Linked DNA regions of Saccharomyces cerevisiae S288C. The gene in region 2 interacts genetically with the main gene of each other region. Each region holds a gene or a part of one and is shown on either strand. Other genes may lie near its edges.

The links. A genetic interaction does not mean that the proteins touch.
Region 1: of ASG7 (region 2) and STE3, changing one enhances a phenotype caused by changing the other (phenotypic enhancement), as found in Saccharomyces cerevisiae (one study listed by BioGRID).

What each region holds. Positions count from the first base shown.
Region 1 is NC_001143.9:112,715-116,864, forward strand, and holds STE3 (Ste3p), read right to left. Parts: upstream 1,914-4,150; coding exon 501-1,913; downstream 1-500. Other genes in the region: LST4 (Lst4p), read right to left, coding at 2,786-4,150. UniProt on the Saccharomyces cerevisiae protein: Receptor for the peptide pheromone a factor.
Region 2 is NC_001142.9:100,013-104,162, reverse strand, and holds ASG7 (Asg7p), read left to right. Parts: upstream 1-2,383; coding exon 2,384-3,013; downstream 3,014-4,150. Other genes in the region: histone methyltransferase SET2, read left to right, coding at 1-1,936; TOH1 (Toh1p), read left to right, coding at 3,269-4,150. UniProt on the Saccharomyces cerevisiae protein: Required for receptor inhibition of inappropriately expressed a-factor receptor (STE3) in MAT a cells. Inhibits signaling by relocalizing the G protein beta-gamma (STE4-STE18) subunit to intracellular membranes.

The DNA of each region.
Region 1 (4,150 bases), on a different chromosome or scaffold from region 2:
AATAGTGATAGAGCGAACTGAAATTGTGGGTACCTAAATATTCTTTGATTATGAGCGGAGATATGATGCTCTTTCATGTTTTCCTGGCCTGAATTTTGGTATGCTCCTAAAAAAATGGCCAATTAAGTGATCGTGCCAATTCTCTCGTTTATTAAAGACTGTTCTGCTAATCGACTTTTGGAGCAAAAGCTTACTTTTGTTTCGAGCTTAAAAAATTTTTCTTGTGTGGAACTTGTATCAATTTCTCCTTATATTTATATATAATACAGACGTTATTGCTTTTCTATAGAAAAAAATAGAAACCAAAGTAGCAAAAAAGCAGTAAATATTAAAGTAAAGTTTACACACAATTCGTCATTTTTACCGCTAAGCCACATATTAGCTGATGAGCTCATCGTTACATTATTTGAGCCACAATTCACTAAAAAGCAGTATTTCAATCCTAGTCCTGTAAAAATAAAATACTCCTAGTCCAGTAAATATAATGCGACACTCTTGTGTTAAGGGCCTGCAGTATTTTCTGAACTATGTTCGTTTGAGCTTGAATTCTCTTCTTTTGAAGCTGGAGAGTAGCAAAGACTTTCCCCTTCAAAATTGGAGCTTGCAGAATTATGAAGCTTTTCTGAATAATCGAGAGTAACTTTTGAGAATCCTCCAAGTGATATTTCGTCGTCAAAGCTCTGTCCTTGCGTGACGTAAGGGATGTGCCTACTTTCTTTTAGGTCTATTTCATCAAGAATATCATCTGTTTCTTTATCAGCAAACAAATATTTTTTGCTTTTATTTTGAGATTTTCTAGGATCATCTGGAATCCTATAGTCGACATAGAAATGCGCTTGTGATATTGGTGTACCTACACAGGGAGAATAGTTTTCTGTACACGTGGAGATATAGTTCTCAGAGTCTGTAGAAAATGGGTTACGGCTCTCTTTGCGTGAGGACAGCTTGTTTAGCAATATGCCTACTCGTTTTTCCTTATTCTTATCAATGAATCTTTTCCACATGTCAAGTACAAATCCTAGTTTGATGGAACGCAGGAATTTAGAGTACATATGCAAAGCATCAGAACCTAAGCCAAAGATTAGAAATACTAGGTAAGACATCAAAACATAAAGCCATATATTATAAATTGGTCTGCCAGGGTCAAATTTAATAATGGTATTCCAGATGGTGCTGGAATGGGTATTTTTAAAAGTATAGTGTCCTTCTACCTGCTGTAAATCTTGAACAAAGGTGTAAACAGAAAAAGGGAACATGACTAAAATAATAATGAAACAGAATATCAACAGCCTTGCGAACCTTGTCAGGTTTAAACCTGAATTGGTACAGTGTAAAATATCCCTAACGTCCTTGCGTTTTTTATAAAACACGAACAGTACTAAGGTGGCATAAACAGCGCCCACAAATGACCATATAAGCATCCACATGGTATACAAAACAGTGGTAATCCATGTCGGAGACAATAAGTTTTGGCAACCGTTGTAACGAGCGATACCATATCTAAATACTTGTAACAGATATGAAAATCCCATGACCATGACAGGTGTGAACAAGCTAATCACAAGGTCCTTGACGATTTTCGTCCATGATGAAAGATCCGGTAAAACACTATCTGCCTTCAAAATTGTATGCAAGTTGTAAATGATGTTGGTAACGGCACATGATATGCCAATATTCGCACCAACCTGCAACTTGATGACAATATCACACCAACCTTTACCATCCCATCTCGTGAGGAAATCGTCGTCACTCCATATTGCCGCATCTACAATACACGTTAAATTCATTGTAAGAAGCCATGTTATCAAAATGATTGCTGGAATATTCTTGGTATGTGAATGCCATGCTAAAGGGGGAGCTAATAGTATCACAGCTAGCAAACAAAGCCCTATTATTGCTGACTTGTATGACATGAAAATTTTGATAGTATTTTGCCTTTCCTACACAAATTTAATTGCCTCTAAAGTTAAAAAGCAATAAAATAGAATATGTGAATACTGCACAAAATGAATACTTGGGAATTCAGAAATTATTCTTACCTTAAGCATCCACTCATATACATATATATATATATATATGTCTTTTCAAAAGACTTCTGCCCAAATTGTGGAGAGAACTCTGCCTCTCCGTGATAACGGCCAAATGAAACGCATCCAATGATGCAATTATTGACAAAGTTTCAAAGTTTCCGCCATTATTCCTTCATTTACACATTGATAGTCGAGAAGTTTCCTAATTAGTGTCACAATGACAGAGAAAATTGTACCAGCGCTTCTAACGAAAATTAGCACCCATACCCAGAGTTCATAAATCTGGCAATGTGGTACAATAATATAGGATTGGTAACATTTCAATTGTAAAATGTTTAACGTTTAGAGAAAAGGGGAGCCAGAACGCTTCTGGTGGTGTAAATACGGAGAAGTCACCTTAAATAGTTTTGTTCTGATAATTGCATTTTTTTGGAAAGATTTGGCTGCTTAAAAGATTCAAGCAATCAAGAGAAACATTACAAGGCCTGCTTGGCCGGTCTACTAGGCTGAAATAATAAGTTTCTGATTATGGTTATCACGGTAAATGATTACGAAAGGGTAAAGCAACGAATGGTTGTTTTATGGTAAGAATACTTTGGCGAATCAACAAATTGAAGTTGCGCAATGTGCGATTCGCTTATGTATCAAAAAAAACTAAAAAATGAATAGAGAAAATCATATATATAAAAGAAAAAAATATCGTACACCTCTTAGGTAACTTGGAATATATTAAACATGTAAAGAAGGAGAAAACATTAACCTGCATTACAATAATGAACAAGAGATGAAAAAATCCGTAAAGCTTCTGAATCGCGAAGCTCACTATCTATTCCATTATCATCATATAACATCATTGCACTCTTTATACTATTTTCAACAAAATTAACGCAGTTTTCCAAACTAGTACTTAGCTTGCCAATCTTGCCACAGGAAAAGATTTTTCTGGTCTTCTGTTTCAACACGTACTTCCTTTTTCCGACAAAATTCTCATCATAGATATTCTGGTTGCTGTTATTGTTGTTATTGCCAGTAAACTCTCTTTTCAATGCGACATCCCTAATGTCCCTTGAACGTAACGATACTAATAGACTTCTTGTGTAATCCGCCTTTAACAGGTCAATCTTCATAGAATTTGTTATTCTGCTCTCTGATTCTTGACCAGCAGGACATGCTTGCAACTGGAAAAAATTGTTAAAATGGGTTAAATACATTGTATATTTCGGCAATAGTTCCAGAGGTTTATTCATCAAGCCATCATCAATATCAGAATCAGTAGTCAAAATATCCGCATAAGAAGAGTTACCTGGAAAAATTTCGTAAGTGGAATTAAGGTCAGCCAAAGAGGGCTGACATATTCTTTCAAAAGCCTCATCCAAAAGATCATCCTGAGAGATCCTTTGGCAATCTCTTTTCAACTCAACGTTCTTTAGTGGAAATTTATATGATATATTCTTAACCAATGGGGGTGCGTGAGACACATCTCCAACATTAGGAGAGCCAGGTGTGCCCATCCAAGGATACTCATCATATTCGCTGATAGACGGTGATTGTTGCGGAGTGGTTAGTGATAACCTGGAGGTTGCTTGCTGCAAAGAAGACGAACTTGAAGTCCTTTGCATATTTCCAGCAGTTGTTTGCAGCCTCTCCCACGACTCGTTGTGTTTTAAAGAAGGGCTTGGTTGAAAGAACTGAGAAATTGTTGGCCTTTTGTTGAACCAAGAACCGTACGAACCAGGTTGGCTTGAGATAGAAGACGATAGATAATGCAATGAACTACTCCCACTTTTGAAGGAAGATGGCTGAATAACTTCCGCTAAAGACTCACTAGAAGACACAGATACTGAAGTGTTCGAGTTCCTCCGATTGGGTATTTGCCATCCTTTCCTCAAAGAATGGAAATTGGGTGATCCAATGCTGTTAGAGCTCACATTACTGTTGTTGTAATTATGATTGCTATTATTTTCTGTGCGACTCAAAAGGTTGTCTGTTGAAGTCAGTGTGCTCAATTCCGTCTCAGGCTTATCGACAAAATTATTGTTAGACTTATTTCTTGATACAGCGGACGAATCCGATCTTATGTTTTCCCGCCGTATCGTTATTTGTCCCTTGTACTTTGGCTC
Region 2 (4,150 bases):
CAATAGACTTACGTTGATAGAATGTGTCAACGATTTGTGTTCATCTTGTGGTAATGATTGTCAAAATCAGAGATTTCAAAAGAAGCAGTACGCTCCGATAGCCATATTTAAAACAAAGCATAAAGGTTATGGCGTAAGAGCCGAACAGGACATAGAAGCCAACCAGTTCATTTACGAGTACAAAGGTGAGGTGATCGAGGAGATGGAATTTAGAGATAGGTTAATAGACTATGACCAACGTCATTTCAAGCATTTTTATTTTATGATGTTACAGAACGGAGAATTCATTGACGCCACAATAAAGGGTTCGTTGGCCAGATTTTGCAATCACTCTTGCAGCCCCAATGCATATGTTAATAAATGGGTTGTTAAGGATAAGCTACGCATGGGAATATTTGCTCAAAGAAAAATTTTAAAAGGTGAGGAAATCACTTTTGATTATAATGTGGATCGTTATGGTGCTCAAGCTCAGAAATGCTACTGTGAGGAGCCAAATTGTATTGGGTTTCTCGGTGGTAAGACTCAAACAGATGCGGCATCTTTATTGCCCCAGAACATCGCTGATGCCTTGGGAGTGACTGTTTCCATGGAGAAAAAATGGCTAAAGTTAAAGAAATTAAGCGGTGAGCCAATAATAAAGAATGAAAACGAGAACATAAATATTGAATTTCTTCAATCATTGGAAGTCCAACCTATCGACAGCCCAGTGGATGTGACGAAGATCATGAGTGTATTACTACAGCAAGATAATAAGATAATTGCATCCAAACTCTTGAAGAGACTTTTTACTATCGATGATGACTCTCTTCGTCATCAGGCTATCAAACTACACGGTTACACCTGTTTTAGCAAAATGCTTAAATTGTTTATCACGGAACAACCTCAGGTAGATGGAAAAGGAAACGAGACTGAAGAAGATGATATAAAGTTTATAAAGGGAATTTTAGATTTTTTGTTGGAATTACCAAAGACAACTCGAAACGGTATTGAGTCGTCACAAATTGATAATGTAGTAAAAACTCTCCCTGCAAAGTTTCCATTTTTAAAGCCAAACTGCGATGAGTTATTGGAGAAATGGTCGAAATTTGAAACATATAAAAGGATAACGAAGAAAGACATAAACGTCGCAGCCAGCAAAATGATAGATTTGAGAAGGGTGAGATTACCTCCAGGCTGGGAGATCATTCACGAAAACGGTCGCCCATTGTATTATAATGCAGAACAGAAAACGAAACTACACTATCCACCTTCGGGATCATCTAAGGTCTTTAGTTCAAGGTCAAATACACAAGTAAATTCTCCGAGTAGCAGTGGAATACCAAAAACGCCTGGCGCTTTAGACTCTAAGAAACATAAGCTGAGTGACGAAGAATATGAGAGGAAGAAACAAAAAAGACTGGAATACGAAAGAATTGCGCTAGAAAGAGCCAAACAAGAAGAATTGGAAAGCCTGAAGCAAAAGCTAAAGCTTGAGAATGAAAGAAAAAGCGTTTTGGAGGATATTATAGCGGAGGCCAACAAACAGAAGGAGTTACAAAAGGAAGAGGCCAAAAAACTAGTGGAAGCAAAAGAGGCTAAGCGGTTGAAAAGAAAAACGGTCTCCCAGTCCCAAAGACTAGAGCACAACTGGAATAAATTCTTTGCATCTTTTGTACCCAACTTAATAAAAAAAAACCCACAAAGTAAACAATTTGATCATGAAAACATTAAACAATGTGCTAAAGACATCGTGAAAATCCTAACTACAAAGGAACTTAAAAAAGATTCTTCAAGAGCGCCGCCTGATGACTTAACCAAAGGAAAAAGGCATAAAGTTAAAGAATTCATAAATTCATACATGGATAAGATTATCCTCAAGAAGAAGCAAAAAAAGGCGTTGGCATTATCATCAGCATCAACAAGGATGTCTTCTCCTCCACCTTCAACATCATCATAATTAACCAGACATGCATATTTGGGGCTTGTTTCACGTTTTCTGTCCCAAAGGAAGTCTTGTACTTTAATTGTAATTGCGATTTGTAATAAGTAATTTTTTTTGTCTTTACCGTTTATTTCTTTATACATTTTTGGTGCATATATTTAAATATCCGCATTAGTGGGCTATCAGTAGCACTGTAATGATAGGTAATGTGACACATCTTCTCGACAGATATTATTCTTGAAAAAATCGTGCGTTTCAAGTGTCTTTATTTTTTTGCTGTCAATAGAAGTGTTGAAATGACTTTGAAACGTAATTACCGCATCGGGAAATTTACATGTTAACTGCAATGAAAACAAGGAATATACGGGGAACATATAAAGGGTCAGCGTCGTTGACTAGTCTGTCATTTATATTGTGCTTGTACATAGGACTACAAAAATTCAAAGAATGACGACAAGAAACATGACTACTTTAGCATCAAGTATTGAGCATAAAACAAAACATCTAGCCGCGCCCTTCGAGAACGATGAGAACCCTTGGATGAAAAAATACTGTTGCCAATGCAAATCATGTAAAATGAGTGTGCCTGTCCAACCTTGGCTGCCAAGGTTTTTTGTTTTTGGAATCTTGTGCCCCGTTTTCTGGTTGGTGAATCTTTTAGCCTGGTGGTTCTTACAGTATTGGCAACCACATGAATTGGAATTCCACGACTTGCAAGAAGACGAATACCCAGGATTTTATGAATATGAAGCCATAACTAAAAGAACGGTGATACCCATAAAGGAAGAAGTCCTCCAAGAGATTCGCGTCATGCAGAATTTCAGTGATAGCAACAGCGAAGAATATTACGAGAGCAAAGACGGTATGCCGTCGTCTTTCCTAAACGTGAACACGGAACAAGTCGAGGACGAGAATGACACCTTGAAAAAATATCGTTACGCGTTTTTGAAGAAGGTAGCCCACGATGTGCTGGAGTCGCACGATTTATTACGTAAGACCTTCCGCGACTGGAATTTACGGTCTTTGCTTGGCCTCCTCATCGATTCTATACTCATAATATTTGTAGTTCTCCTATGTAAGAAAAGCCGTTAGGTAGATCTAAAGACAGAAAATGATATCAGCCTCTTTCTTTTCCACAGCCTCCATTTCCCATTTTTGCTGTATCTGCAAGGGTTCCTTTTTCCATTTTTTTTTTTCAAAGTCTTGGCTCCGCCCTTTTCTTTTGTCTATTTTGCCGAGCTTAGGTTATTTATAAACCTGAAAATCCTCGAGAAACAATCCTTATCGAAGGAAGCAGCCATAATAGAACATACTCAAGTGCAAACATTACAAGCTTAAATAAGACAAATGTTACAGAGTATAGTCCTTTCCGTGTGCATGTTTATGTTGCACACAGTCGCTGCCAGTGGACCTCAGTCGTACCAAAAGTTGGATTTCACTAATGTTGGTTTTACAGGCTCCTACGTAGATGTGAATAAGTTTAAAGATATCACCAACAATGAATCGTGTACTTGCGAAGTGGGTGACAGAGTATGGTTTAGTGGTAAGAACGCTCCACTAGCAGACTATTTATCCGTTCATTTCCGTGGACCATTGAAGTTGAAACAATTTGCTTTTTACACATCCCCTGGATTTACCGTCAACAACAGCAGAAGTTCTTCTGATTGGAACCGTCTTGCCTACTATGAGTCCAGTTCCAAAACCGCTGATAACGTTACCTTTCTAAATCATGGAGGTGAAGCTTCCCCTTGTTTAGGAAATGCTTTGTCCTACGCTAGTTCTAACGGTACTGGCAGCGCCAGTGAAGCTACCGTTTTGGCAGATGGCACTTTGATTTCTTCAGATCAAGAATACATAATCTATTCGAATGTCTCATGTCCAAAATCAGGTTATGATAAGGGTTGTGGGGTTTACCGTAGTGGCATTCCAGCTTACTATGGGTACGGAGGTACAACAAAGATGTTTTTGTTTGAATTCGAAATGCCTACTGAAACTGAGAAAAATAGCAGCTCTATTGGGTACTATGACTTGCCTGCTATTTGGTTGCTAAACGATCACATTGCAAGGACTTCTCAATATCCAACCAATGCCAACTGTTCATGTTGGGCTAGTGGATGTGGGGAATACGATATTTTTGAAGCTATGAATGGTACGGAGAAAAACCATCTCTATTCTACTTTCCACACTTTCCAAGGTATCGAGGATTTGGGTACTGGTATCCAATCTTAC